Mus musculus: one gene and its partners. The protein of the gene in region 6 interacts with the protein of the main gene of each other region in a pairwise test. Links are inferred from orthologs where the notes say so. Each region holds a gene or a part of one and is shown on either strand. Other genes may lie near its edges.

The links.
Region 1: the proteins of CK137956 (region 6) and Hnrnpf interact in binary tests that used the Homo sapiens proteins (3 or more experiments, as listed by UniProt). The two-hybrid records come from large-scale screens. The link is inferred for Mus musculus from reciprocal best matches to the Homo sapiens genes C1orf94 and HNRNPF.
Region 2: the proteins of CK137956 (region 6) and Cdkn2d interact in binary tests that used the Homo sapiens proteins (3 or more experiments, as listed by UniProt). The two-hybrid records come from large-scale screens. The link is inferred for Mus musculus from reciprocal best matches to the Homo sapiens genes C1orf94 and CDKN2D.
Region 3: the proteins of CK137956 (region 6) and Rad51d interact in binary tests that used the Homo sapiens proteins (3 or more experiments, as listed by UniProt). The two-hybrid records come from large-scale screens. The link is inferred for Mus musculus from reciprocal best matches to the Homo sapiens genes C1orf94 and RAD51D.
Region 4: the proteins of CK137956 (region 6) and Rbm47 interact in binary tests that used the Homo sapiens proteins (3 or more experiments, as listed by UniProt). The two-hybrid records come from large-scale screens. The link is inferred for Mus musculus from reciprocal best matches to the Homo sapiens genes C1orf94 and RBM47.
Region 5: the proteins of CK137956 (region 6) and Plekhb2 interact in binary tests that used the Homo sapiens proteins (3 or more experiments, as listed by UniProt). The two-hybrid records come from large-scale screens. The link is inferred for Mus musculus from reciprocal best matches to the Homo sapiens genes C1orf94 and PLEKHB2.
Region 7: the proteins of CK137956 (region 6) and Rbfox1 interact in binary tests that used the Homo sapiens proteins (3 or more experiments, as listed by UniProt). The link is inferred for Mus musculus from reciprocal best matches to the Homo sapiens genes C1orf94 and RBFOX1.

Annotation. Positions count from the first base shown.
Region 1 is NC_000072.6:117,905,412-117,909,581, forward strand, and holds the start of Hnrnpf (heterogeneous nuclear ribonucleoprotein F), read left to right. Parts: upstream 1-1,370; 5' UTR 1,371-1,428; exon of another isoform or gene 1,429-1,698; coding exon of another isoform or gene 1,699-2,430; exon of another isoform or gene 2,431-2,507; intron 2,508-2,692; coding exon of another isoform or gene 2,693-2,794; intron 2,795-4,170. Other genes in the region: uncharacterized protein 4933440N22Rik, read right to left, coding at 1,699-2,430, 2,693-2,794.
Region 2 is NC_000075.6:21,288,410-21,292,667, forward strand, and holds Cdkn2d (cyclin-dependent kinase 4 inhibitor D), read right to left. Parts: upstream 2,801-4,258; 5' UTR 2,541-2,800; coding exon 2,400-2,540; intron 924-2,399; coding exon 564-923; 3' UTR 54-563; downstream 1-53. UniProt on the Homo sapiens protein: Interacts strongly with CDK4 and CDK6 and inhibits them.
Region 3 is NC_000077.6:82,887,825-82,891,999, forward strand, and holds the start of Rad51d (DNA repair protein RAD51 homolog 4), read right to left. Parts: upstream 2,801-4,175; 5' UTR 2,596-2,800; coding exon 2,514-2,595; intron 2,208-2,513; coding exon 2,146-2,207; intron 1,987-2,145; coding exon 1,868-1,986; exon of another isoform or gene 1,845-1,867; intron 1-1,844. UniProt on the Homo sapiens protein: Involved in the homologous recombination repair (HRR) pathway of double-stranded DNA breaks arising during DNA replication or induced by DNA-damaging agents. Bind to single-stranded DNA (ssDNA) and has DNA-dependent ATPase activity.
Region 4 is NC_000071.6:66,149,155-66,153,256, reverse strand, and holds the start of Rbm47 (RNA-binding protein 47), read left to right. Parts: upstream 1-1,302; 5' UTR 1,303-1,402; exon of another isoform or gene 1,403-1,555; 5' UTR 1,556-1,718; intron 1,719-1,783; exon of another isoform or gene 1,784-2,253; intron 2,254-2,278; exon of another isoform or gene 2,279-2,741; intron 2,742-4,102. UniProt on the Homo sapiens protein: Single-stranded RNA-binding protein that functions in a variety of RNA processes, including alternative splicing, RNA stabilization, and RNA editing. Functions as an enzyme-substrate adapter for the cytidine deaminase APOBEC1.
Region 5 is NC_000067.6:34,859,959-34,863,458, reverse strand, and holds part of Plekhb2 (pleckstrin homology domain-containing family B member 2), read right to left. Parts: intron 1,587-3,500; 5' UTR 1,579-1,586; coding exon 1,542-1,578; intron 454-1,541; coding exon 301-453; intron 1-300. UniProt on the Homo sapiens protein: Involved in retrograde transport of recycling endosomes.
Region 6 is NC_000070.6:127,950,342-127,953,841, forward strand, and holds part of CK137956 (uncharacterized protein C1orf94 homolog), read right to left. Parts: intron 1,294-3,500; coding exon 605-1,293; intron 1-604.
Region 7 is NC_000082.6:7,408,835-7,412,980, reverse strand, and holds the end of Rbfox1 (RNA binding protein fox-1 homolog 1), read right to left. Parts: exon of another isoform or gene 3,291-4,146; coding exon 3,168-3,290; 3' UTR 501-3,167; downstream 1-500. UniProt on the Homo sapiens protein: RNA-binding protein that regulates alternative splicing events by binding to 5'-UGCAUGU-3' elements. Regulates alternative splicing of tissue-specific exons and of differentially spliced exons during erythropoiesis.

The DNA of each region.
Region 1 (4,170 bases), on a different chromosome or scaffold from region 6:
GGGGTGTGGGGAACCAAAAGAAACAATACAAAACAAAACAAGAGTTGGAAGCCAGCCTGGGTTGCAGTCAGACAGAGGGAGCTCAAAAGTGAAACCTCTGGCTGTAAAAATCTGGGAACTTCAATTTGACCCCTGGAACTCACCTAAGGGAAATGAAAATACTTGTGAAAAGTTGCTCTCTGGCTTCTTCAAGGTTAGAAGTCACTTGCACCTTTCTCTGGCAATAGTAAGGAACTTTAAAAATAAATAAAACCACCCAAGGAGCAGGGTGAGAGGTCTCAGCAGAACTTGCTGCACAGGCCTTTCAACCTTGAGTTTGATCAGGACCCCACATGGTGGAAGGAGAGAACACTCAGGATTGTCCTCTGACTTCAGTTGAAAGTGTGGTGATAACTCGCACGAACTTAACAATTTTAATGCCCCACTCCCTGGGCAAACAAACAAACAAACATCAGAGGTGGGGGATGTAATTTGCCAACTACAAGGCTCTGGGTTTAGTGCTCACGAATACTTATCTAACTTTTGTAGCATCTGTTTTCTATCATTTGACTTCTATTTTTCTTCTTGGACAGGTTTTCCTCTCAAAGTTTTCTTTCCTTTTTCTGGAGTTAGTCTGGTGTGTTGTTTTATAAACGTTTCCTTCATCACTGTAGTTCACTTATAACCAGAGATTATTCTGAACGGCCTTGTAATTTCTCCAGTGTTTATATAGACAGCAGCTCGCGACCATGCATTGTAGCCTCGGCCGCCTCCATGCAGAAATGGAGTTCGTAGGAACCAGCTCGTGTTCCTACGCCCGCCTAGGCGGCTCTGGAAGCTTCAAAAATAATCTTCACTTTAGCTTGTATCTCGACATCTCGCAGAGAATCCTCCCAAATTATTACACATCAAGAAAATCTGTCCCAGCGTTCACATAGTGCTGAGAGTTAGAAACTTCAGACAAATCCCTCCGGACTGCCTGAGATGCCCTTAGGCGGTCTTTCTTTTACATAAGACACCATTCTAGTTTTCCGCACGCATGCGGTCATTGATTCCTTTGGGATCACTTTTCGGGATGCGGAGACACGCGTGCAGAATTCAGCGTCCACCGACTCACCAGCCCACAGGTCTCTTTATGGACAACCCCCTCCACCTTGCTGTCTCCCCCCCCCCCCTCGTTTGCCCGCCCCCTCCCCCTGCTACCCCCCCCCCGCAATGTTTGCGCCTGCGCCGTCACTGTCCTCTCCGGGACTCAGAGGCGGGTCCACAGCTCTCTAGTCCCGCCCCTCTCCCTCCCCCGGCCAATCCTAGGCTCCGTTCTGGGCTCGTCAGAATGGCGCCGCGGCTGCCCTGTGCCCGGATGTCCGCTGCCTGAGGCTCCGCCCCATCACCGTCTTGCATCCTTCCGGCTCCGTCGTGGAAGGAGGACTGCGCCTCGTCTTCCTGAAGGTGGGGTTCGGGGAAGGCCAGCCCGCGGTCACGCCGGCTGTGGGAAGGGAAAGTGGGCTCCCCGGGCTACTGTTTCCGGGTGCTCGGGGCGTGGGCCGAGCGGGGAGCGGACCGGGGATCAGGAGGGCTTCCGGAGGCGCCGCTGGCGCTCGGCAGGCGGGAGTTGAGGAGCAGGCCGGCCGCGCGGTTGACTCGCCCCGCTGAGGCCGTCCCGCGAGCGCGCCTGTGGGGGTTTCCATGGTGACAGTAAACAAGCCTCAACTGCCTCAGCTACAACTGCCAAGTCCCCGGGGTTCCACCCTCCTCTAGGTGCTCTGAGGGCCGGCGAGGTCCGGATGTGAGTGGGAGCGTGGAGCCGAGAAGCCGGAGGTGAGGGCCGCCGGCGGGGTGTGCTGGCGCCTGGGCCCGGCGGGCGTTGGATGGCGGGCGTGGGATCCGGACTCGGAAGGAACGGGGCCGAGGTGGCCGCCGCACAGCCATAGCCGTGCGGAGGCTGCCCACGGAGCTGGGGACCGCGTGGCCGGGGTTTGGGGTCGGGAGCCGAAGTTCAGCGCATTTTCGACGGGGATTGGGCCGCGTGGCCGAGGTGTGCGGTCGGGGGAGCGGGGACTGAGGGCTGGAGTCCGGTCGGTAGGGCCGGGCCTCTGGGCTGAGGTGTGCGGAGGGCCTGGGAGACCGCAGCCGCGGCCCACGCCCGCCCGGAGAAAGCGCGGCTTTCCTCAGAGCCGCCCCCCCACCCCGCCCGCAGGCGCGGCTTCCTCGGCGGGATATTGGGGGGGGGGGTGAGGGTGGAGCGCTTCTCACCCACCGCGGCTTACGCTCTGTCAGCGGCCCCCCGGCAGGCCCGGGCGGTGGTTGTAGTTTGGAGAAAGACGAGCGGGCGCTCACGTGGCCCGAGGCGCCCGGAGTTTCACAAGACTGGGCGGGACGGCTCCGCCCACCGCCCACGCCCGGCCCGAGCGAAGCCGAGCGCCTCGCTTCCTCCTCGTGGCGGCCCGGGAGCTAGGAGCACCGGTCTGCGCCGGTCCCGTCCCCCAGAGGTATCGTGTTAGCGTGTGGGGTGCGGAGTCTTTGCCTAGGTGGGTTAGTCGGCCTTAGCCGCAGTTACGAGCACTTTTGTGCTGTGTTTGTGGAGCCTCACGTGTCTGGGAAAAGTTGAGGTGGGCCCGCTCGGCCTTCCCTCGGCGCGTGCTCTCCGGAGCCTTCCCGACCCGGCGGGATCGGAGAGGCAGCCCCATGTGCCCTAAGACTCCCACCCAGCGACCTTTTCTGCCCCTGCCAGTCCGGGAACAAACAAATGGGCCTCTTTCCTACCTGCAAGTCGGGCTGCGGAGTAAGCGGGCGAGCGAGCGCGGGTGGCCGCCATGTGGCTGTGCGGGATCGGTCTCCTGAACCTGGGCAGTTTTGTTTACGGAACTTTTGGGCTTATTTTAGTCGGTTTCCTTTAATGTTTATTTGTGCGTGGAGGTGAGGGGATAAGGTGAAGAAATGGATTTTTCCAGCACTGGGTCCTTGGGATTGAATTGAGGGTCCCTGTCACAATGATCTATCGCTCTGTCCAGGGGGTGGTTTAAATATTTAATTCTTCTAGTTGAACAAGACAGACGATATCTGGAAATAGTTAATACTTAAGTCTTTCTTCCCTTCGTGCTGCGGAGTGGAGGTCAAAACGTGGTTCAGTTCTTCCATCTGTGTATTCAGACTGAGCGCAGGTAGCTAAGGTCTGGCAAAAAGTGCGTTAGCCCATTGAACAATGTCGAAGTACTTTTGAGTACGCCGGGTGGCTATGCATGCTTTTGCGCTCAGCGCTCGGAGGTAGATCTCAGTTGAGAACAGTCTTACAGACCAAATCCTGACTTAAATTTTGAACTTTCTGCTTTTCTTATCTCCCTCGTGTTGCCATTAGTCTTACCAGCCTTTTTTTTTTTTTTTAAGTTACAAATCATTATGTAGCCACAGAGGATGACCTTGAATTCCAGATCACTCAGCTCCACCTCTAGATTGGAGTACTAACTCGACCACACCCCATTAGTAGTTACTGGGCATGGCAGGCTTTAGGCACGCTTTGTCAGCCCCATTCTGTCTGTATTATGCCCGTTTTTGTAGTAATTTTTAAAAAAGATTCATGGTTTGATTTGAAGGAAGGCCTGGGCACACTGGATCTAAAAGTAAATGCAAAAGTGATTACTTGTTTCTTGAGGTAGGGTCTAACTATTATATTACGCCTTGGCGCAAAATTACTGTATATTTAGATAAGGCTGGCTTCAAACTCAAGCAACACACCTACTTTTGCTTCCATAGTGCTGTGAATTGCTGGCATTAAAGGCATGTATCACGAAGCACAGCTAATACAAGGGGGTGTGTGTGTGTGTAACAGCTTTCTTTTGTTTTTCGAGACACGGTTTCTCTGTATAGCCCTGGCTGTGGCTGTCCTGGAACTCACTTTCTAGATCAGGCTGGCCTGGAAGTCAGAAATCCGCCCACCTCTGCCTCCCAATTGCTGGGATTAAAGGTGTACACTACCACGCCTGGCTGTATTTTGTACTTTTGAGATGTTTGGTTTTGTTTGGGGGGGGGGTTATTTTGTTCTTTTTGGATTTTCAAGACAGGGTTCTCTTTGTAGCCCTGGCTGTCCTGGAACTCTGAAATGTTTGTTTTATATGTGATTATATTTAAGACTTTAGTAAATGCCGAAATAAAACTACTGACCATTTGCTTACCAAAAAAATTTCAGTTCTCTGT
Region 2 (4,258 bases), on a different chromosome or scaffold from region 6:
CGCTGTCTTAGTTTAATGGGCCAAAACATAAAATAATCACACAAAACAATTTCTTTCCATAAAGCAATAAATATTTATATTTCAAACTCTGTACAACAGACTGGAAACCTTCCAAGAAAGAAAAATGAACTCATGTTATCCTTTTAATTGATTTGAAATGCTTTCCCTTCCCCCTCACATGCCCAAAGTAGATGGCTCACACTTCAGGGCTCTCTGAGCACAGCCTGCCAAGGTCACCAGCTTCCAAGGGGCCCGGGAAGTGATGACCTCACTCTGAGGCTAGGGCTTTAAACCCCTGCCCTGGTGCAGCCCCAGTGCAGAGGAAACTGAACCGTTTAGATGGCTGTTGCCTGTAGGAGCCCCTTCTTTGTCCAACACACCAAAAGGGGTGAGAAAAACAAATGAGAAACACCCCCCAAACACACACACTCAAGAAATCAACACCAATAAACCACAAACTGCTCCTCCCACTCCCTTCTTCAATGGACAGGTGTGAAAAGAGAAAGTTTCTTTCCTCTTTTGTTGACAAGTAACCCAGTAAGGCTGGAGACAGTGGCCTTGGGTCACATTGGGATCATCATGTGCCCCTGCAGAATGTCCATGAGGTTCTGAGCCCCTCTCTGCCGAGCCAACTCCAGGGGAGTGAGACCGGAAGCGTCCCTGTGGTGGAGATCAGATTCAGGAGCTAGGAAGCTGACCACGGAGCTATGGCCCTCTCTTATCGCCAGATGGATGGGGAGCGACCCAGTGCTGTCCAGGGCATTGACATCAGCACCATGCTCCACCAGAACCTTCAGGGTGTCCAGGAACCCGGTGCGAGCCGCATCATGCACAGGACTAGTACCGGAGGCATCTTGGACATTGGGGCTGGCACCTTGCTTCAGGAGCTCCAAAGCAACTGCTGGACTTCCAAACATCATGACCTATGGGGGTGGGGAGGAGAAAGTCAGGAGGTTCCCATTGGAGAAGGGTCAGGTAGAATAAAGAGGTCTACCACAAATCCAGAGCACAGAGAAGGGATCCTTAGGGAATGGGGACGCCCCCAGGAAAGTCAGGACCCAAGGGATCAGACTGGGACCCCAGAGAACAGGTTCTTTGAAAATAAGGACACCCCCACACACACACCTTCTAAGCCCCACCCCCATCCTTGTCGGAGACAGGATGTCTTTCTGGATGTCCTGGAATTCTCTCTGTAGACCAGGTTGGTCTCAAATTCTCAGAGATCCACCTGCATCTGCCTCCCAAGTGCTGGGATTAAAGATTAAGTGCTGGATTAATTTGTGTCACTACTGTGTAGCCCAAAGTTCTCTTAAGAACAACAACACAACAACAAAAAGCCCTAACTATAAAAGTGACTCTCATGAAAACATTAAAAAGCCAGGCATAGTGACGCTTTCATAATCCCAGGACCTCAGAGGCTCAGGCAGGAGGACAGTCTCAAGTTCAAGGCCAGTCTGAGATGCAAAGTGAGACTTTGTCTCAGAAATAAAAAAAGAAAATGAAGAAGCAAGAGAAGTAAAGAGAATGGATGAGAAAGGGAACCGGGCCAGGCAGTGGTGGCGCACGCCTTTAATCCCAGCACTCGGGAGGCAGAGGCAGGCAGATTTCTGTGTTCAAGGCCAGCCTGGTCTACAGAGTGAGTTTCAGGACAGCCAGGGCTACACTGAAAAACCCTGTCTTGAAGAGAGAGAGAGAGAGAGAGAACCAGGAAGGCGTCTAAAGCCTCTTTGAGGCCAGAGCAGTCCCATATCATTAGGGCTGTAAAGCCCCTTCAACACTACAATCTGGGAACTACATAGAATTTTTGAGAAAGAGATGCTCTAGACAATTTGGATCCCCTTTGTCGAGAAATAACTTCCTTAGACATAGGCATGATCTTCAGAATGTATGAGTACCCATGAAAAGGTGGGACTCTCCTATAAATGCCACCCAAATTACGGGACCTTCAAGCAATAAGGAATCGTTTTTGTTACTAGGCACGCAGAAGATACAAAAGGGGAAAAAATCTACATCACCTGCCGAAATGAAGATGTCCCTGAAATAACCAGAGATCCTTCAAGAGGGCACCTCAAAAAAAAAAAAAAAAAAGGCTATCTCCCTTGGAGAAGACATGCATGCCATCTTCCAGAGATCGAATATCTTTAAGGAGCCTCAAGAAATATGAGCTGTCCTCAAGGACTGGCACGAAAAGAAGATGAACCCACAGAATAAAGGTCTGCAGGGAAACTGAATCTGTCAGGCTATTAGACAAGAGCTGAAAAGCCATCCCCTCCCCCATCGCATCCTCACCACCCACCCAACATCAGAGCAAGCAAGGACTAAACCTTAAGGGATCACCAACCCGGGTCAGGAGACTTGTAGGGATGGGGTGTGGGGGCCGGGTGCCAGCCAGGCCTCACCTGCAAGGCCGTCTTGCCAAAGCGGTTCAGGGCGTCAGGATGCACCAGCTCCCGGTGAAGAAGGCGGCGGACCTCTTGCACGTCGCCACGGGCCGCTGCGCCACTCAACCGGTCGCCGACGCAGACTTCTTCCAGAAGCATAGTGGATACCGGTGGACTGTGAAACCCACCCAGCCCCAAGCCCAGTTAAGGTCAGGGCTGGGGAACCAGCAAGAGCTGGATCAGAACTCTAGGGACTGCGGTGCCACCAGGGCCAACTCTATGATCATTTGCCGGCCTCAGAGCCTGCGCCCTCCGCCCGTACGACCCCAGCGCTCGCAGCTAGCTCCTCCCCCTGTCACCGAGAGAGGCAGCGGGGAACCCCGCCCAGCCCTTCGGCGCCCGCCCCTTGGGCCGGGTCTCCCCAGACTCACCCTCCCTCCTTTCCTTGCGCGGGCGGGGTCTGCTCTGAGCCGGCACTGTACTGGCCGCCAGAGTCAGCCGCTAGTGGGCGAGGCAAGCCCGCCCCAGGCCCCGCCCAGAGCGCCCTTGTTTTCTTACAAACTCGCAACAGAGTAGCGAGAGCCACTTTGCCCAGAGCCCGACCTCCATTAGTCCCGCCTGCTGGGAATAACAGCCAATCAGCACGCGTTGCTGGGGAGGTTTGTCTCTCCCGTAGCAGTGGCGTGGCTCCTGATTGGTCAGCGTGCAGCGACCAGTGGAGCTGCCCGCCACAGCAGGAATTTTGGTTTTTCAAAACCGGCGGGCGGGCGGGAAAGAGGAGGAGGTTTAACTGACCCCAGCGGAGAGGCTGGAGACAGGCTGGCGCGGGCCCATCTTGGATCTTTAGCGCCTCCGGGAGGAAGGGAGGCAGGACTGGAAACTCCTATAACTGGAACATTTTAGTCATTCACGGACCGCGGAAATGCTAATAAGCAAGCTCTTACTGTGAAACTCGGAGCTTAGTTCATTCATTCGACTGCTGGGTTAAAGGAACGGCTTCTGAGTGGTAAAGCGCGGTGCCTTCTAACATTTTTGTTTGGTTGGCTGGTTTTGGTTTTTTCGAGACAGGGTTTCTCTGTGTATCCCCGGCTGTCCTGGAACTCACTCTGTAGACCAGGCTGGCCTCGAACTCAAAAATCCGCCTGCCTCTGCCTCCCAAATGCTGGGATTAAAGGCCACCACCGCCCGACTTTTGTTTGTTTTTATGTTTCTGCGGCAGGGTCTCTCTGTGTAGCCTTGGCTGGCCTGAAACTTATTTGATCTGTTTGAACTCAAAATCCACCTGCCTCCTCTGCCATTCGTGCTGGGATTAAAGGAATGGGCTACCAAGATGGTCTCCTTTAATTTATTTACTTATTTATTTATTTATTTATTTATTTATTTATTTATTTATAGAACCTGAAAGATGGATCAATGCTTTTGTAGAAGATTTAGGATTCAATATCAGCAACCATGTGACAGTTTAGCCATCAGTAACTCCAGCTTCAGAGATCCAACACCCTCTTCTGACCTATACCAACATGGTGCACATATAGACAATCAAATAGCCACATATTGTAATAATTCTCTTTTAGATTTTTCTACGTTTTTCAAGATAGGGTCTTAGTATGTAATTCTGGCTGTCCTAGAACTCCCTATGTAGGCCAGACTGTTCTTCACCTGCCTGCCTTTGCCTCCCAAGTGCATAGTATTAAAGGCGTGCCCCACTACTGCCTGACTCCTTTTTATTTTTTATGTGCATTGCTGTTTTGCCTGCATGCATGTCTGTGTGAGGGTGCCGAATCTAGAACTGAGCTGCCATGTGGGTGCTGGGAATTAAACCCAGGTCCTTTGGAGGAGCAAGAAGCCAGTGCTCTTAACTGGTGAGCCATCTCATT
Region 3 (4,175 bases), on a different chromosome or scaffold from region 6:
AGCTCTGGCTTGCAAGGCATAACTGATCCCTCCATCTACAGCGGTGTCTGCCCTGCAAAGATTTACGCTGCACCTCAGCACGCCAAGAAGGCCCACAGCAAAGGACCCTGTTTAACAGGTTTAATGCATGCTAATCACAAGTTTCACTAACCTTGCCTATAGCCTTACCTTCCCGGTTTCAAAGTTACATCCACTAGGTAGGCACAGCACACTGGAGGGAAATCTAAAACCATCTTTTTTTCCTTAAGATTTTTACGTAGGTATATGAGTACACTGTTGCTGTCTTCAGACACACCAGAAGAGGGCATCAGATCTCATTACAGATGGTTGTGAGCCACCATGTGGTTGCTGGGAATTGAACTCAGGACCTCTGGAAGGGCAGTCAGTGCTCTTAACCACTAGGCCAACTCTTCAGCCCAGCAAACCACCACCTTTGACTCTTCAAATTTACACCTGATCTCACAGTAAGTCTCTCTTCTCACATCTCTCCTTCAACATGTCTTCCGTGGTCACAAACCCTGGTTCAGACTTACACAACCCAAACCAGCAACACAAGATCCCTGTTTGGCCTCTCCTGGCTGGCTGGCCCGTCTGTCCTGCACAGCTATGCCCCATAGCCTACAAATGCTTTCACAGTGGCCTCTCACCTCCAAGTATACCTCGGAACAGTCAGCTGGAATTAAGTTAAAATCCTGAGCCCCACTCCTCCAGAGAGCATCTGCATGTGTCTGGCACCCAGTAGGCACTCAGCCAATGTTTGATGGATTACAAACACAGACCCCCAACCAGCGAGAGCAAGCACCAGACTGTGCGGACCTTGCCAAGAGAATGTGTTATGGAAACAGCAAGGGCCAGACCGATCCAAAGACCTCTGTGATGGCCGTGTTATTCATCAAGCTCCGCACAAATAGGCCGGGAGAGAGGTCAGACTCGCTTGGCCAGAAAATGCTAGCTGTCTTCCAATTCTTTCCCAACCCGAACAACAGGGCACAATGTAACTGCTCTTTTTGGAGTATGCCCGTTCCCCTCTGCTGCCTCAGATGGCAGAGACAACAGGTTCTGGATCAGATAACCCCGGGCTCACCTCTGCTGGCCCCTTTCTTAGGCTAACCACAAGGGAGGTCAATAACTTCTAACATCCATAACCTCGGGCAGCAGTTCTCAACCAGGGGTCACAACACAAGCCCTCCGACGACTGCACAACCCTTTCACAGGGGTGGCAGATCCGACTATATTGCTTTTAGAGATTTACACTATGATTTACAACAGTAGCAAAATTACAGTTATGAAGTAGCAAAGCAGTAATTTTATGGTTGGGGGGGGTCATCACAACAGGAGGAATTGTATTATAGGGTCACAGCACTGGGAAGGTTGAAAACCACTGGCCTATGTCAGCGCAAAAGTGCAGACTCCCGGGACCCCAATCCTTCCCCGGGTCTCACTTGCTACTTGCTTTATTTTGACGTATGGTGGACTCTACTAAACAATGGGGGTATTAACGACATCTTATGTTATAGGACAGTGGCTCTTCACTGGGAAAAGTTAGCTTGTTGGAGATACTGAGTCATTTTTTGATTATTAAAACTGGGGGCATCTTGGCATCTGGTGGGTAGAGAAGGACCAGGGATGCTGTTAAACGACTCTCAACGCACAGGATATCTCTATCTCAGGAAATAACGACTTGCCTCCCCCCCCCCCCCCCCCATCAATTGTGTTGAGGCTAAGAAACCCTACAGTTTTACTCTAGGGAAAAACACTCAGGAGTCCACACGCCTGCAGTTCCTCTACCGCTCTGGACTGCCCTCACCAGCCCCGTCCTCTGAAGCCTCAGTCTCTGCTTTCACCTTGTCCAGGTTCGCATACAAACCTTCCGATGCCGGTGGACAGGATGGCCGTGGAAGTCTTCAGTTCCTCATAGAGATCTGCGCCATTTAAGGGGAAAGCCGAGAACTGCGCCAGCAACACCCTCCTCAGGGCAACGAGGGCCTGCCAATAGGGCGGACACTCAGGCTCCAGGCCCGCCAGATTGCCCCCTCAGAGCAGCGCCCCCCCCCCCCCCCATCTATCCCAAGGAACTCTGATCCTGCAGCGTGGGGGCGCAGCTGGAAGAGGGGTTGGAATGGAGCTTGCAGATCGCGAGCTCACCTTGTAGGACAAGCCACACTTCTGGGCTACTTCCTCCAAGTCAGCAGCTGCCAGGTCTGCCACTGGAAAGAGAGCAGGTGCAGGTGATTGGCAGCAGGAATGGCTTAGCCTTGCCACATTTGCCTTTTGCTCTGTTGTCAAACGGGATTAAGGTCTTATTCTACTACCTATCTCGAGCACGCAGGCCCTGATGCAGGACCGACCCCGCAAAGGGCCCAGCACTCAGTAAAATCCTCTGCCTCGGCTCCTGCGAACCCAGCTTCCTCAGAAAGTCAGAGGAAGAGTGCGGCCATCCTGTTAGAGCAAAAGGCCCCGTATGTGTACCACGACCACGGTGCCGACCCCCGGGGTAGTGCCCATGAGGTCACCTGTTTTTATCTTTCGGCCTCTGAGAAGCTGGACGGTCTCCTCGGTGAGGCCCGGGCACAGCCCTGCCCTGAGCATGCCCATAGTCCCTACAAACCCAGGATGCCCTGGGGGCTCTCTGTCACTTGGGCGCTCGCCGAGTCCCCCACTCTGGGCATTCCTCAGTTCTACTTAGGGAAAAGGTCCTGGCGTGCCAGCGCGGGACGAAGGGGCGGGAAGAGGATGCAAGTCGAGGTGAGGGACACTAACCCTTCCCAACTCGCAAGACTCTAGGCGCCCTAGGCCCGCCCCCTCCGGCCGACGCTTCCGGGTTCCGGGACTGGAGCGTCTTTTGTAGGCCAGGCCTGCAGCGCCATCTGCTGACCATGAGGGCAAACACAGAGGCTTTGCGACTCGCGCCAGCCACCTGCAAGCACACCTAGAGCTTACATACATGCACAGAGACACAAGCACACACACCGACACACACACACACACACACACACACACACACACACACACACACACACACACACACACACACACACACACACACACACACACATTTTGTGTGTCCAGCGAGTCTTCCAACGAGTCTCTTGTGTATACCAGCCTCTATTTGCAAAGCTAGGGGACACTCACTCTACCTAACTCAATATTTACAGAGTGAAGCATCCCTGACTTCTAGTAGCATTCTTGTTAGGAAGACAATGAAAGTGGATCAATTCAGATCATTACAGATTGTATGATCAAGCTGAGATCCAGCGAAGTTCACAGAGAGTACCTGTGTCCCTATATTTTCCAAATTTATCAAGTTCTATCTTACGTATATAGATGTTTTGCCTGCATGGATGTCTATGCAATCCTGGCATGCCTGGTACCCAAGGCAGCCAGAGAGAGGGTCAGATCCCTTGGACTGGAGTTACAGATGGTTAAGAGCCACCATGTGGGTACTGGTCTTCTGGGAGAGCAGTCAGTGCTCTTAACCACTTAGCCATTTGTCTAGCCCAACATTTTCCAGAGGTTTTAATGGAAGTAGGGAAATGCTTGAGTATATAAAATACTATTTTGATTTTTTTAACCACATCTAGTGGAAGAAATAAAGCAGTTTTACAAAACCCACGAGTGAGGTTCTATTTCTGCCTGTATTTTGTAGTTGAAGGAATTTGGGCTCAGTAAGATTGTTATTCTTTGATTTATACAGATAGGAAGCACAGAACTGAATCTCCAGTCCATATCCAGCTGCAGGGCTCATTTTTAGAAATATCTCCTCATGTTCACCATTGTCTCTCAATCTTTCAAGGTGTTTGGAATCCTGGCCCTGAAACCAGCTACTCTGTGAGCTACAACCCACAGTAAGCTTTCACTGTGCCTGCGTTACTGGCTATGGTGGGATTTGCTGCTTAGATCCCAGGATAGAGAGCCTTAGAAGTATCAGTAGGCAAAGGCCTTCTCTTCAAAGTCTGGTTGGCTCAGGCCAAGTGGTGTTCTCTGTGCCACTAGCCTGCTACCCCTTCCTGGACAGCTCTAAAGAGGCACAGGCAATTAAGCCTTTTGAAGTCCTCAGAAGAGGACCGAGTAGTTGTGACCACAAACGTGACCTAGAGAGGGTCATGTGTGCTGGAAGGGGCCATCAAGTTTCTTTCTTGGCTCAAGCCCACCCCTAACCCAGGCGTTTGGTCTGT
Region 4 (4,102 bases), on a different chromosome or scaffold from region 6:
CTGCGATTCTCAGTACATGTGTGCACCTATCGACAAAGTCTTGATTCTGAATTCAGAACATGGTTAAACTGGCCTGGCTTGACTTTTGCTGCCTAAAAGATAAAAGATCGAAGATCAAAAGGATGGAGAACTTCAGAATTCCTGGCTGGCTTCAGGAATTACTTTTACTAATGGTGGTAAGATCTGACTTTTCGATTAGACTGGAAAGGTCGGCACTCGGGAAAGTTGGCCTGCTTACCTAACCTCTGTACGGACAGTGTCTTCACCTCCAGACCTGAGGCAGACCTGAGGATCAGATTAAGGAAATGGGTGAAAGGGTTCCTGAGTAAGAAAGACCTCAATATAAAGAGATTAGGATTTCTTCATTTATATGTCAAGTTAAAAGGAACATAAATACCCCCTCTACCCTCCACTATTACTATGGATGATATCTATGAGTTTTCAAAGCCTCCACCACACCCCACACGCCCCACATTCACAGATCTTCAAACTGCATGGTTCACTGTTATCTAGCACTGACTTTTTGTTTTTGTTTTGTTTTGTTTTGTTTTTGTTTTTGTTTTTTTTTTTTTTTTGAGACAGGGTTTCTCTGTGTAGCCCTGGCTGTCCCGGAACTCACTCTGTAGACCAGGCTGGCCTCGAAATCAGAAATCTGCCTGCCTCTGCCTCCCAAGTGCTGGGATTGGGATTAAAGGCGTGCTCACCACCGCCCCGCTAGCACTGACTTTTAACCTATGGAGTAACTTGCAGGGTGGCAGGTCAGGTCTAGTGCCTAAATCTGAGTCAGAATTACGCGCGTGACACAGACGTTGGATTTGCACTTCATGGAAGGCAGGGCCAACTTCTCTCCACTTCCCTTGAAACTTGTACACGAGTCGAAAATCAGTTGCACACCCCTTCACAAAGACTTCGTCTTTCCTTCTCCTTGAAACTGTCCACAGTGAAAGCAAAACTCCCATCCTTAGAATCTTCCAGAAACTCAGAGCTGGAGGGTAATTAACTTGCTCACAGATAGTGAGGGCAGAGTTGGGTCTGGAGCCTCCTTCTAACATCCATTGCACGTTTTTCTACGGGGGGGGGGCGGATTATACATAATAATAGTATCACTAACAACAGTGGCTAACGCTATATGCCGATATTCTATCAGCTTCCATTTAACTAGATGGGGGGGGTAGTTTTGGGTCCTTCTTTTAATTAAAGTAGCCTACTGTGAAACAGTATTTTTTTTTTCAGTTGCATGACATTGCAACCCGAAATCACAACTTTAGGTTCCTTGTGGTGCCCGCTTCCTCTTCTAGTTTGTTTAGTCACAGAATTCGATTCCTGTTGGCTGTTTCCGCGCTGCAAACAGGCTTAGCGCTCCATTGAAATGCGGGAGGCTCCTTAATTCTTGTATAAACAGGTAACCCGAGGGGTGGGGCGGGGGCCGCGGCCCTAGGGTGGGTTTCCTGGGAGTGGGGATGGGGGTCAGACTTAGTTCCCCTGTGATCAGAGGCAAGGTTAAAGGAGGGCTTGGCTGAGGTTTCTCCTTGCACTGTTTTTGTTCCCTTTCTAGAAACCAGCTGTAACACTAGGTCAGAGCGCATTCAGAATGAGCCACTTTGAACGAGCAGCGGCGCCCAGGCCCCAGGCCCTGCTGTGAAGGCTCCGGCAAAGGTCAGAGCTCCGGCCCCCCGTGACGTGCCTGCCTGTGCTCTCCGAGCTATGCTCAGCCTCAGGTAAGAACAGCCCAGGAGGTCCTGGCTTCCTGCAGGCCCGCGGCGGGGCTCGTCTGCCGCCCTACCTGCTCCAGCGCCTTCCTGCCCCGCAAGGCCGGGGGCGGTGGCACTGCTCACCCCGGGAGTCAGGCGCAGGGTCCTTAGTCCTTGGTGCAGGCTCAGGGTGGCTTACTCTAAACAGCCATAGGCGGCCGGAAGCCACTCTTCTAGATGTCCCCAGGTGGGGCAGGTGCCACTTCTGGGGTCCCTTCTGAATGTCTGAAATGGATGTGACTTTTTGAGCGGCCAAAGTTCGTAAATCCTCCGCATCGGGGCCAGTCCGATATGATTTTTTTTTTTTTTTAAACCTTCAGCTAAGGTATCCGCGCTTCTAAAACAACAGGAATGTTGCACTGGCCTTCGGCCAGCGGAGGCTCAGCGAGCAGGATAAAATTTCAGTGCAGATTTACGGGAAGTTGCCGGTGTTGGGAGTAAAAATCTGGTTTGGTGAGTTTAAGGGAAGGGAGTATACGAGACAACCTTGCTACTGTGAGGCGAATGGCCTCGTCTGGGGGAGGGCAGGAGGCGGAGGGAGGGAACCGGGAAGAGCAGGGATTGCAGAGGCACCGATTGCAGCCGGACTCCGCCGCGCTCCGCGGGATCCGACCCTGTGCCGCTCCGCCCGGGCCACAGCCGCACCGCAGCCGGCTCGTACGACCCAGCCCAGCCGGCCGCCGAGCGCCCGGACCCGGAGAAGCCAGGCTCTGGGCCGGGAAGACGTTTCTTACCGCAGGTCACTCAGGCTAAGAAATTGTGACAAACTGGAATTCCCAGAACCCGGGAAGAGTTAAAGCCTAGAGCGATCTGATCTGTTGCTTTAAGCCGCACGGTGGGAAGTAGTTTGGAGACTCTTTAATTTAGTTTTCTATTTAAAAGTGTGCGGCCAGCGAAGATGTTGTAGGTGACTTCCTAGCCTTGTAGATTGCTACCGGGCTGTGAATGGTATTAATTTCTGAAGTGAGCGACGCCAAGTACTTACGGAAGGTAAGGTGGACTTTTGGCAGTTCTGACTACTGTCCCCATAGAGTCCTGACTTTTGGGAAAAAACAAACAAACAACATCTTTCTCTCTCTATTTCTTTCCCCCTTAGTATTAATCTCTCATTTGATCGTCTTCCTTCTTTAGTGGGAAGTTAAAGGGTTTATAAAAAGATTTTTTTTTTTAAAGCTTCAGCTTTTGGAGAGCAGATAATCCTATGGTCAGCCGCATCTTGTTTCCTGCAGACTTGAGTCTTTTTCCGTGTGTGTGTGTGTGTGTGTGTGTGTGTGTGTGTGTATAGTTGAAAAAAACGTAATTGGTCTTTTTTGAGGCACAGGTGACTAGATGCGGATTATTAGCTTGAGATTTCGGAGTTTTTGGTGACGGGCGTCTCGCTTGAGTGTTAACTGGAGCAGAGCGGGGGGGGGGGGGGGGGGGGGGGCTTCCTGCAGACATTTATCTCTGAAGGCCACCCTCGGGGAAGCTTAGTTGTTGTTTCCAGCGGAGAATTCAATCTGGAGACAAGAGTAGAGTCTACCAAATATAACATCTGATATGCCTGCAGTCACTGGGTGGCTAAGAAATCAGTCAAAATGAATGGAAATGGAAAATTTCAGATAAAGGACTCTCTGTTTTAATTAGGTAAAAGTTGACAACACTCTAAGACTGTCCTAAGGCACTTAGGGATGTGGCTTCCTTATTAAGTCTTATCAAACTGATGAAAAGATATTCTCTAGGTACTTACAAGCTATTTTTGACTTGCTTTTATTTTCTCCATTACTTATGGGAGCTAAAAGTCGAACTTTTCTCCCCTCCGGTTTGTGTGATAGTGACTCACTTAGGAGTTTCCTTAGGAGGACTGCAAATCAAAACTGTTCTTCAAGCTGCTGAGGTGGCTGGCCACCAAACTTGAGGACCTGAGTTCTAGCCTTCCCTCACCGTGGTGGAAGGAGAAAACAATCCTCTAAGTCGTCCATGGACTTAATTAATTAATTAATCAATCAGTTAATTAAAAACTCAGGCTTAGGTCAGGCAAGGTGGAACGTGCCTTTTAATCTACAAGTAAAAGGCCAAAGCAGGGGATTGGAGGGTCCAGGGCAACTGGAAAGCTGGGTTTGGTGGCTCATACCTTTAACTCCAGTCCTTGAAAGGTAGGATAGGAGGAACCAAAGGGAGGGGAGGAGGAGTTCAAGGCCAGCCTGGTCCACAAGGCAAGTTCCAGGCCAGCAAAGGGCTGCACACTGAGACTTTGCCAAAACAAAAAACAAACAAACACACAAGATAGATAGATAGTAACTGAATGGTAAGTGAGAGTCTTACTGTGGAGTCAGACTAAGGAACACAAAGGGTGGAACAACCTGCAGGGG
Region 5 (3,500 bases), on a different chromosome or scaffold from region 6:
GGCAGAATGGAGGAGTAATCTGTGGGTTGACTTTTTGTCTGTTTTGGTTTTGGTTTTTCCTCCTTATGCATTCTTAGACCTAACAACCCAGGAGTGAAGAGCAAGACTGTACATCACTGCACGGGAAACAGCCCGGGACCTAACTCCAGTGTGGGGAAGGGCGCAAGATCTATTTATCGTGATGTTCAGGATCTGAACGCCCAAGCCCCACTGTGGCTGCCCTGTCTGGACAGTGTCCAGTTGGACAGTGGGAGCAGACTCATTAAGGAAGGTGGGGTGGTGGTCCTGGGCACAGCTTACCCCGGCACTCATGCCCCGTGCGGATATTGATGCAGTCCACGGGCATGTGGACCTTATCCTCTATGCTCTGCCGAGTCTGATCATCGTAGTAGATCAGGTGACCGTCTGACCACAGGTCGAACCAATTCTTCTTCCAGCGTTTCAGAATGGTGCCTGGGGGACACACAGAGAGAGTTGGCTTTGGGTTACAATGACAAAGGCTGTTGCCCGTGCGCAGCAGGCACAGAAGAAACCATCTACCAGCCTAGAATCAATGGAAGCAATCCACCGAGCTGGCAGTATAAACAGTCAGGGCCTGTACCCCTCCAAGGGAGCACAGAGGAAGAGAGAGGGGAACACATGTGAAAGCCAAAGGGAGAAGAGCCCTGCCATCTGGATACAATCTTGCCACTGTACTCAGGAGCTCCCCAGCTGTGGACACCCGCACAAGGCCCACACAAGATCAGGCCTTGCAACACTCCATCACAGATAGGAAAACAATACTGACAAATAATAACTTCAAAAAAAAATCTCACCTTCCAAGACCATGACAGTGCTTGAGGAAAAACCAGAAGCCAGCCAAAGGACTGGCAAGGGACTTGTCCTTGGGTCTGAGCAAGATGCCTCATCAACCCTATCCACATAAAACTCAAGAGAAGGTGGCCCTGGCGTCTGGGGCTACCTTCCGAGACACCAGGTAAGGCCATTCTTATCACTCTAGGCTAAGACTACCCACAGACCTAGGGAGCGGAGCACAGCATAGCTCCCGGTGGGGAAGAAGTAGCCGGCTCTCCCTGCTCACCAGCTCATTATTCCAGTGGCAGCCTAGGAAACGAACAGCCAGTTCACGGTAGCCATGTCCGGGAGTCATGCTCAAGAACTGAGTTTTCTCTGGAGACAAAGATTTGCTAAACTCGTGCACCCACCAAGGCAGGTCTCCCCACTGACCCTTCTCGGGCTCCAGATAGGACATGCCATTTCCTACACACACAGGCCAAAGACCAGGAAGCCAAGCGTGCTCAGACCCAGCCACCTCAATAAATACCCCGTTAGTAATAAAGCACGGGGGCGGGGGGGGGGGGCAGAGCCCTCCCTGCTTCCTGGTTCCTATTAGCTCCATGGTTTCTATTAGCTCCATGGTTTCTTGAGGACCGTCACAGAGCCCTAAAGATTCCCAGAGGAGATGCACGGCAACAGTAGTAACCAGACGTGACCATTGGCAGACATGATCTGTTTTAGGGTTCTCAGATGTCTCTACTCACTCTGCCGAAGTAACCATCCACTCTTCACGAACGCCATCTCTCCAGCTGCAGGAGAGAGAGCAGACAGGGTCAGGATCAAGAGTCAGGAAAAGAACGGTTCATCTGGCTCTTTTCAACCCCTCCCCTCTCCCCTCTTCCCTCCCCACTCTTCCCTTCTCCCCTTCTCCCCTCTCCCCTCTCCTGAGGGAGCTGAGGAACAACCCAAAGCCGTGTGACCTCACACTACCTGATATTTATCAAAGCCTTCTCCACGGGTCTATACCACCCACCCTTCCTCCCACCTCCTGAGTCCCAACAGGCTCAGGGCAGCTCCAGAAATACTAAGGCTTGACTCCGCTACGGACTTGAGCCTTCTCACGACACATCCAAGTGTCCTAAAGACCTGGAGTCCAGCTGCCTCGGCCCAACGCTGATATGTTCCACAGACTCACAAGTCTAGTCATCCCTCACTGTTATCAGATGAGTAGCTAGTTCAAGGCAGAAAACCTTGGGCCTTCAAGAAAAACACTGAGAGATTTAATTCCATAAAATAGATGACCCAATCCTTCCTGCTTCTCAGAGGCCCCAGGTGTTGTTCTGGGTGGCAGTTTACGACCACCTGGAACTCCAGTTTCAGGGGATCTGACCCCCTCTTCTCTCCTCCACAGCCACTGCATGCACATGGTGCACTTAAAACACACACACACACACACACACACACACAACAAAACACTCATACAGCTAAAATGAAAACAAAAACTAAAAACCGCCCTGGGCCAGTGAGGTTTAGTAACAGGTAATGGCAATTCCTAGCACCCACACGCCAGAGGAAAACTGACTCCGAGGAGTTGTTCTCTAACCCCCAACATGTGCACCACAGCACAAGTGTGTCCCTCCACAGTAATAATAGGCATAACTTTAAAAACAAAGGATATCTGTATAGGTGAAGGAGTGTCAAAAGACTAATGACAAATGAGGAAGACCATTAACAGATGGCAGCAATGACGTCTCACACACACACACACACACTCTCTCTCTCTCTCTCTCTCTCTCACACACACACACACACACACACACACACACACACACACACACACAGAGCCATAAAACAAACAAGAACAAACTCTTAAAATACCCAGTTTGGGTCAGGAAGAGGGTTCAGTAGGCAACAGGGCCTGCGGCAAAGCCTGAAGTCAGTAGTATGATCTCTAAGACACAGAGGGAGGCAAGAGAAATCCAACTCCCTCAGGTTGTCCTCTGACCTTGGCATGCATGTCAGGGTGTGTGTGTGCACATACACGATCAATCATCAATCAATCTGTAAATTTAAATGTAAATTAGATATAAAAAATTAAAGAAGATAGTCAGTTCCTTCTCAACTCAGAAGACAAAACTCAGATGCAGAGTTCGCAGTTTTCCCCATCGGCCTGGCAAACTTCAATGCCTAGCCAGGAGGAAGTGTTGCAGTGTAGAAGGCCTGGCAGGATAAAGAGATTCCAAAATGACTTGGAGTCCCTCCCTTTGGCCATCAGACTGTGAAACAAGACACCATGCGGAATTGAGATTTTCCCAGGGATCTCATTCTGGAAAGGACAGGCCGATGCCTGGTAGAGCCAGAAGGGGAACTACTCTGGAAAGAGAATCTCCACGGTCTGACAGCGAATCAGACCACCCTGAGACTGGTCAGTGCCGGCTGAGACAACCCCTTGACCAGGAAAGCTATGCATATGTCTAGTCCTCTACTTAAACCTAAACTTCACGTTGGGACGGAGAAGACAGCCTGGTGGGAGTTGGAGGCTGTGATTGGATCTCTTCATCTCTCTTTTTCAAAGTAGCACACAATCACAAGCTGAATCCACAAAACCAGCCTCCATCTTTTTTTCCAAGAGATTGTGAACAGAGACATACCCACCCACCGCTACTGGCTGCCATCTTGTGACGGGATGGGGGAGGAGCTCAAAGGCAGCTGACCCTGAAGAC
Region 6 (3,500 bases):
ACATGAGTTTGAATTTCCCACATGTATATACAAAGCTGGCTGTGGTAGCACGTGTGTGTGATCCTGGTGCTGGGGAGGCAGGGTCAGCACTGCCAGAGTTCACGATCCAGTCACACTGGCTGAATTGGTGGGCTGCATGTTCAGTGAGTAGAAGACCCTATCTCAAGAAATAGGATGGGGGTGGGGCTAAAGAGATGGCTCAGCTGTTAAGAGCTCTTGGCTGCTCTTTTAGAGATCCTGAGTCAACCACACACATGGCAGCTCACAACCATCTGTAATGTATGTATGTGTATATGTGTGTGTGTGTGTATGTGTGTGTGTGTATGTGTATACACACACACACACACATATACACACATATGAAGAAGATGGAGAGCCACAGAGGAAGTCACCTGACATTACATCTGGCCTCCAGACATATACATGGGTGTATCTATCCACACATGAACATGTACACATTCATACACCACTTAGACACACACAACCAGAGAGCCTGCATTGTTTTGCTTAGCACAAAGACACACCATGGCCTCGATTCAGCTTCCTGATCAAGACTCTCTCCCTTGAAAACCCCCCTCACTTTCCTGTTCTCAACCCCACTCACCAATCCAGTGGTGGCCCTCAAGAGCAGCGTCAGCCTCAGTCTTGGAGCAGATCTTGGCAAACACCGGGAGCTGCCTCTTGGGAGGAGAGGACTCAGGGAGCTTGTCAGGGAGTGCAGGAGGAGGTGGGGGTGGCAGCAGCAGGAACGGACCCAGCCCCATGGGCTCCCGGGGTCCGGAGCCATTGAACATGCTATTCTGCAGGAAGTCCTTAATGACCTTGGTTTCTTCCAGCACCATCTTGTTGTCTGGGGCCTTGGACATTTCAGTTGCCTTCAGTGGGAACTGGGCCAGGAGCTTGCTGATCTCTGAATTAGAGGCACCCAGGCTATGGCCTTTGTCCTTAGTCCCCTTGACACTCTTGACCTTGGCCGAGCGCAGGATGCCGGTGACTGTAGACATGGCAGAATCCGAGTCCTGCCTGCTACCAATGATGGGCATGGACAGCTTCTGCTCCTGAATCTCGTCACCAGCCATTACGGAGGATCCTGCATACTCGGCGCTGTCTGCCCCAAGAGGAGGCACAAGAAAGCAGGGAGCCAGCTCCCTGGTCCCCTGGGGAGTAACAATGGGTGTTGCCAGCTCCCCAGAGCCCTCTTGGACCAAGATGAGATGTTCTTTAGTGAGGCTCAAGAACTCTTGCTCCACCAGCAGGGAGATCTCATCCTTGCCACCGCTCAGTTCCAAAGCTCTGCAAAAGGATCAGAGACACAGTAGTCAACATTGGACGACTCTGCCAGCAGCATCACCCACTAGGCCATTGTGATGAGAATATCTGTCCTTTCTCAGGAACAAACAACAGAGAGGGAGCTCACTGGGGAAATTTGCCCAGCAGCAAAGGGCTGGGCTGTGAGTAATCATTTCACAGAATGAGATGTGGAGCCTGAAGGAGTCCCCAGGAACACAGCACAGCCTCCCTATTGCAGGTCGGCCAAGTGTCCAGCGGGGCTCTCATCTGACTCTCTCACTTCTCATCTCTGCGACCCTGAGCAAGTTGTTCAGCATCTTGGGTCCTCTACTCTGATAACCTTGTGTGATGCCCGGGAATACCACCGAGGGGGGTTTGAACAGTGCAGACACTCTACCACAAGGGTCAGACACCTGTCCACTAGTGTGTCTGTGTGGCTCAGGCTCACAGTCTGACCAGACCCCGAATCCTAGATTCCACAGGGCGACCATCTGGATATCTGCATAGACCCTTGCCGGCATGGCCTCTTGTTTTTGTTTTAGTTGTGGGTGACAGTACCACTTGCCCAGACCCTGAACCAGTTCACAAGGCTCTCTCCCTGTGTCCCTGTCCCTCATCTCCATCATGGGTCAAGACTAACAATCTGATGGCCCTTGATGGGCCAATGAACTCCCAGCTCCTGGTTATTGGTTCTCCTCCAGTGAGGGAGAAGGTGGTGAGCCTGTCATCACCACTACCCCCAGCAACCCTGGTGAGGGACCCCCTCCCCCCACTGCATTCCCAAGGGAACCACAATGCCCCAGCTTAGAAGCATCAGCTATGCATACTCAAGGGTTCCAGGGAGGGGAGGATCTAGTTGCCTATGCCTGGAACATTCTGGAAACCTGCTTAGCTGACACTCAAGACACACAAAGAGGAAAGATAGTTAAGAGGCAGACAGGAAAAAAAAATGAAAGGGACGCCATGGGGCTTGGAGGCTGCAGCTTCATCGCGGCTAAACTCAGACATGGTCTGTTTGACAGTCTACTGGCCACCGCTAAGAAGGCACAAGAAATACCCAAAACAGTGTGCGTGGGGTTCCCTTACTTTCCTGATAGTGCTCTTTGCTTCTGAACACACACACACACACACACACACACACGCGCGCGCGCGCACACGTACACGAATGCACACATACGCGCACATTCCATGGTGCACACAGGTCTGCACGTAAACAGGCAGGTGTACAGTTCACTCAGAGTGGGGAAGAGCCTGCACTTAACAGTCCACAGAGGTAGGCCCGCTTCCCACTCTCTACTTCTCTTTCCCTCATACTCCTCTTTCCCTCTCCCTGGCCCTCTTGAATATTCCCTTCCTTTTGCCTCCTTTCCATGTCTAGACTTAGGGCTATAAATAGGCCCTACTCTCCCCACTGTGCCCCCAGGAACAATCAGAGTAAGGAGGACGGATGCCCTAAGTTTCAGATCCTTCTCCTCCCTTCAGGGGATCAGGTGAGTCCCAAGTCCCAGGAACAGGTCACTGGCAGAACCAGTTTTTGTTTTTCCCTACCTCCAGTCCCCTCCCCCACCCCCCACTCCACTGCCTTGCAAAGTCAGCTGCACGCCAACAGCTTTTCTGAATTAGCCTTACCCAAGGCTGCTTATAACATTGTGAGTGAGGCATTGTGGTCACACTAAAACAACAAAAGCAGCCTTTATCTCTCCGAGATACATGCTAAATATGTATAGATCAATTATGTCTGGGGTTTCCTTTAAAACTAATCCAGCTGAGGGAGGGAGAGGGTACAACAGATAAGATCCTCCGTACGCTGTCAATCACGAGAAAAGCAGGAAGCAGACACCTGGGGCCATCACGTTAGTCAGTCTCCCGGCATCTATATTTGGTTTCTGGGTTACACATTCACACACACGAGTCACTACAGAATCTTCAAAAGTGCCAGGTGGCAGGAAAGCAGCTTCTCCCACACACCCCCCCCAGTGTCTCTTTGTGTGTTTGTGCATGTGTGCATGTGTATGTGTGCACGGGTGCCTGGGGTGGGGATTTATGTGTGCTTATGTACATGTTGAAGCCAGAGGTCAACTTCAGGTATCTTTCTCAGGAACACTGCCCAGAGTCTCTCACTGGCCTGGAGTCCCCAAATCAGTTTAGATTGGTTGACCAGTGAGCCTCCAGAACCCCCCATCTCAACCTCCCTAGGGATGGTCTTATAA
Region 7 (4,146 bases), on a different chromosome or scaffold from region 6:
GTGTTGCTGCAAGCAACATTGTGGTGGTTTGAACAGGAATGGCGTTCATAGACTCTTGTGTTTGAATGCTTGGCCCACAGGGAACTATTAGGCCTTATTTGGTTAGGTGTGGCCTTGTTGGAGGTGGGCTTTGAGGTCTCATATGCTCAAGCTAGGCCTAGTGTGACAGTCTCTTTCTGAGGCCTGTGGATCAAAATGTAGAACTCTCAGCTCCTTCTCCAGCACCTTGTCTGGTATCTTGCTGCTGTTTCCTACCATAATGAAAATGGATTGAACCTCCAAAACTGTAAGCCAGCTTCAAGGAAATAGTTTCTTTTATAAGAGTTGTTGTAGTCATGATGTCTCTCCACAGTAATAGAAACCCTACCTAAGACACATGTTATAGAAATGATTGTGCAGTGTGTGTGTGTGTGTGTGTGTGTGCACGCACACACGTGTGTAAAATAGACCCCATAAAGAAATCCACAGAGGCAGAAGAACTCAGAACACCAACTTACAGGTACCTTTTCAGACTAAGCTTTTATTTTTTTGATATTACAAACCAGTTTTCTTTATTCACAAACCACTGTAAGTGATATAAACACTAATTTCTAAAGACAGATATACACATTTTCTGGGTTTGCAGATTGAGTGATGTGTGTTAAGAAGTCACTATATGCCACATTAATCTTTTTTTCCATAATTCATAATAGCAATAGTTATTTAGATAAATGAAAACATTCCAAATAAATACTGTTGTTTTAAAAAATCCAAAATGTTTGTTTACACCTCTGACATGACAGTTTAAAACGACTTATCGGCAGCTCAGTGGAGTGCCTAGACAAAAGGTTCTGCGACACCGATTGGCACCCACTTGCTCTAAATGATTTTTATTAAAACTACATACGATCGTAGGGGAAAGTACAGTTCATTGATGGAAATCAAAACCGCAAATGAGTTTTACTTTAGCCAGCACAGTAAGAATTCCATGTTTGTGATTTCATACACAATGCAGGTTCTGGGCTTGAAAATCTGGGGCGACTGGGAGGAGTCTGTTGATCTTTTTGCAGCCCCCTTTTCTATTACTATCTTGACCCCATCTGGGGTTGAATGCTACAGCATCATGATAAATTGTTGCCTTGGATAACATCAACCAGGTGCACGCTGTAGCAGGCCAGGGAAGTGGGAACGTGATGTTGTCAAATGGTTCCCTCTGGACCTGTCTCTCCCTACTCAAAGAAAGGGGTCTGGTGAAAGAAGAACAGTTTCTCTTCTCACCAGTTCAGCAGTTTCTCTCCCTTCCCCTCCTCGCCCTTTGCTTTTCTTTCTCTCCCAAACCATGATCACCTGTCTTAGATATCGAAGCTACAAAAACTTTGTTTTCAAATCTCATGAAACTTTATTGATGGTTTAATATCCAACCGATCTTACGGGCATGCACGTAGGATGACGAGGAAAAGCTGGATCACACACACTTTTTTTTTTCTTTTTAAAGTTTCGTTTGGTTTTGATTTTAAAGCAGAGTTGTTACAGCAGGTTGGCAGGTTCACAGCGTGAGTTGATAACTTACTAAAGTGCGTGCCGCGGGGCCGGCACCGCACACACAGGCAGCAACACTACTCAGGGAACAGCTTGCTGATATTTTAGAATTTAAATACAAAACAGGAAGACCCATGACAGATACCCCAACTTAGGTTAACTTGTAAACAGGACAACATGGGGGGGATTCAAACAGAAGAAAATCACAAGTTGCAATTTTTCGGCTGTGTTGCTCTGGCCCTGCTCCGAAAAAGGATGGGGCAGATCTTGTTCTTTGGGGGTGGAGGGGATAGTTCTAGTTCTTGTTTTTTGTCTTGTGTTTGCTTCCTTCTGACAATTGTTGGGCCTTGGTGATAGAAATAAAGATACCAGTTTATGATAACCCTGGGGCACTGGGGAGAGGGAAGGGCGGGCTCTCACAGACTGAAAAATTGCAAGTTGCTCACAGCGCAGTCATGTTTTCAAAAAGTATCAAGCTGATGAAAATACCATGATTATCTCTATTCAATGATTGCGATACTTGTAAAATGCGACTATAAATCCAGATATGATTATCATGTAATTCCATAAAAATTATACGTCTGTCTCTAACAGTTAATCTACTAAGCTAAACTAAAGCCTCAGAGACTGTTCTAGAACATAACTCCACTGCACAGATGTAAATTTTATACATATTTTTAACTGGTACAAAGAATTTAAGTTTTTATTACTTTCTTTTTTGGAAAAAAAGAAAAAAATAGAAACAGTGCTTTTTTTAATCACCTTTTTATTAATGTTAATTTTTCCCTCCCGTAATATAAAAGTCAGCAGTGATATCAATAATTTCTCATACTGGAAGAAATATAAAAAGAATGCTTACTGATGGCCTAACTAGTAGCCTTTGCTTAAATAACTAGTGGGTAGGTAAGAAGCTGAGTACTGCAGGTGGAATGATAAGAGGGTGGACTGGCCGACACAGCTTCCTTCCTTCAACTGCAATCTCCGTGCTATGAGAAGCGGATTCTTAACACAGCCTTTGGCTTGACTTTGCCAGGAGTAACTTAGAACCATAGATTTATGATAGTTGGTGCAGTGGGTCATTTAGATTCATCAGTTACTATATATATGTATATATATATATATATATATATTTTCTTTTTTTCCTTTCAGCCAAACCCCTAAGCCCGCCCCAGCCTCCCCTTTCACAGAATAAAATAATGTGGATGCAGAAAGAATGACTTGCCGTTTCCAGTCTTCCCAAACAGCTTAACCCCAGTAGCTTCATGTTCGGCATATAGAATTCATTTACATAATATAGCACTCTGGATATGGCCCTAAATCAGTTTTTATTCATATCTAGCCTCTCTCTAGATCAACCACAAAAACTCCTACAGCCAACTGAACTACAAAAACCTTCAGAAACCAAAGACCCACAATATTAAAATACACAGAACAAAATATCTGAGGTATAAGATAAAAAATGTAATTTTTCCTCTTTTTTTAATTTTTTTTTCTTTTTAGTTGTTTCTTTGAGTTGCTAACATGATGTCCTACTGCATGTGATGCAACACTCAGGCCTCGGAAAGCTTCCTCTCTCCCCACATTGGAAGGTTGGGTTTTTTTTGTTCGTTTGTTTGTTTATTTGTTTGTTTGTTTAATGGTTTTATCATTTAATATGGAGCAAAACGGTTGTATCCCCCTCGGTATATACTAGCCTGCAATGAAGAAAGAACGAGACCCACATCATCAGCATGGCTCCTAGTCTTGGCATCGGTCAAGGGCGCAAAAGCATTCTGAAACAAAGCAATTTGAGGGGTGTGGTTTTTTACATGTTGCCTTTTGTAACATGTGGATCATCAAAAAGACTAATGTAAAAAAAAATAGACACTCAAAACCAAGCAAATTAGAGGGCACCCCCTTCCCCATCCCAGACCTTGTCAGAAAGTTAATGGTGGTCACTCCTGACCTCCTCCTACAACTCCTTATGAAAAACAAAGACGAAAACCTAATAATCCCAGGAAACTGAATTGGATCAGCTGGTCTTACCTACCAGCTACGAGGCTTCCAGTTTTCAAATGGGAAAGTGGATGGATAGGAACCAGCTCATTTTACTGGTTTGTTTCTTTGATGAGTGGACTAATTGATATGATGTTGCACTGGGAGAAGCTCTGTGTATAGTCAAAGGTGGTTCTAGACAATGTATTGAATAAAGGGATCAGGATTCTTTTCCACCCCTTTCCTCAAGTGGCCTAGATCTTGGAGTAGTCTTGGTTGTTGGATGTCACGGTGAAATAAGAATAAAGGCCTGCTTCTAGCTTTGGCTAGGCAACTGACTGACTCTGATGCTGCAGTGGGGGTGGGGCAGGAGCTCTGCTGGGTGTGATTAAGCTTATGTAGAACAGCAGGCTCTTCTATGCCTGCTTGGGTTTCTATGACCCAGGGTGCAGGGAACTGCCTAGCAGTGGCTTCCTACCACACTTAAGCATTTCTCTTTGCTGCAATTATTGGCCATTCCAATGAATGCCCATGGGACTGAGTTTCAGGGAGAGGGCTAAGATTCTCAACTCAAGCAGAAGACTGCATGCCAAGGCGTTGTATTGATCGCATGTGCTCTCACACAATGGACATGTCTTACTGGACTCAAGAGTG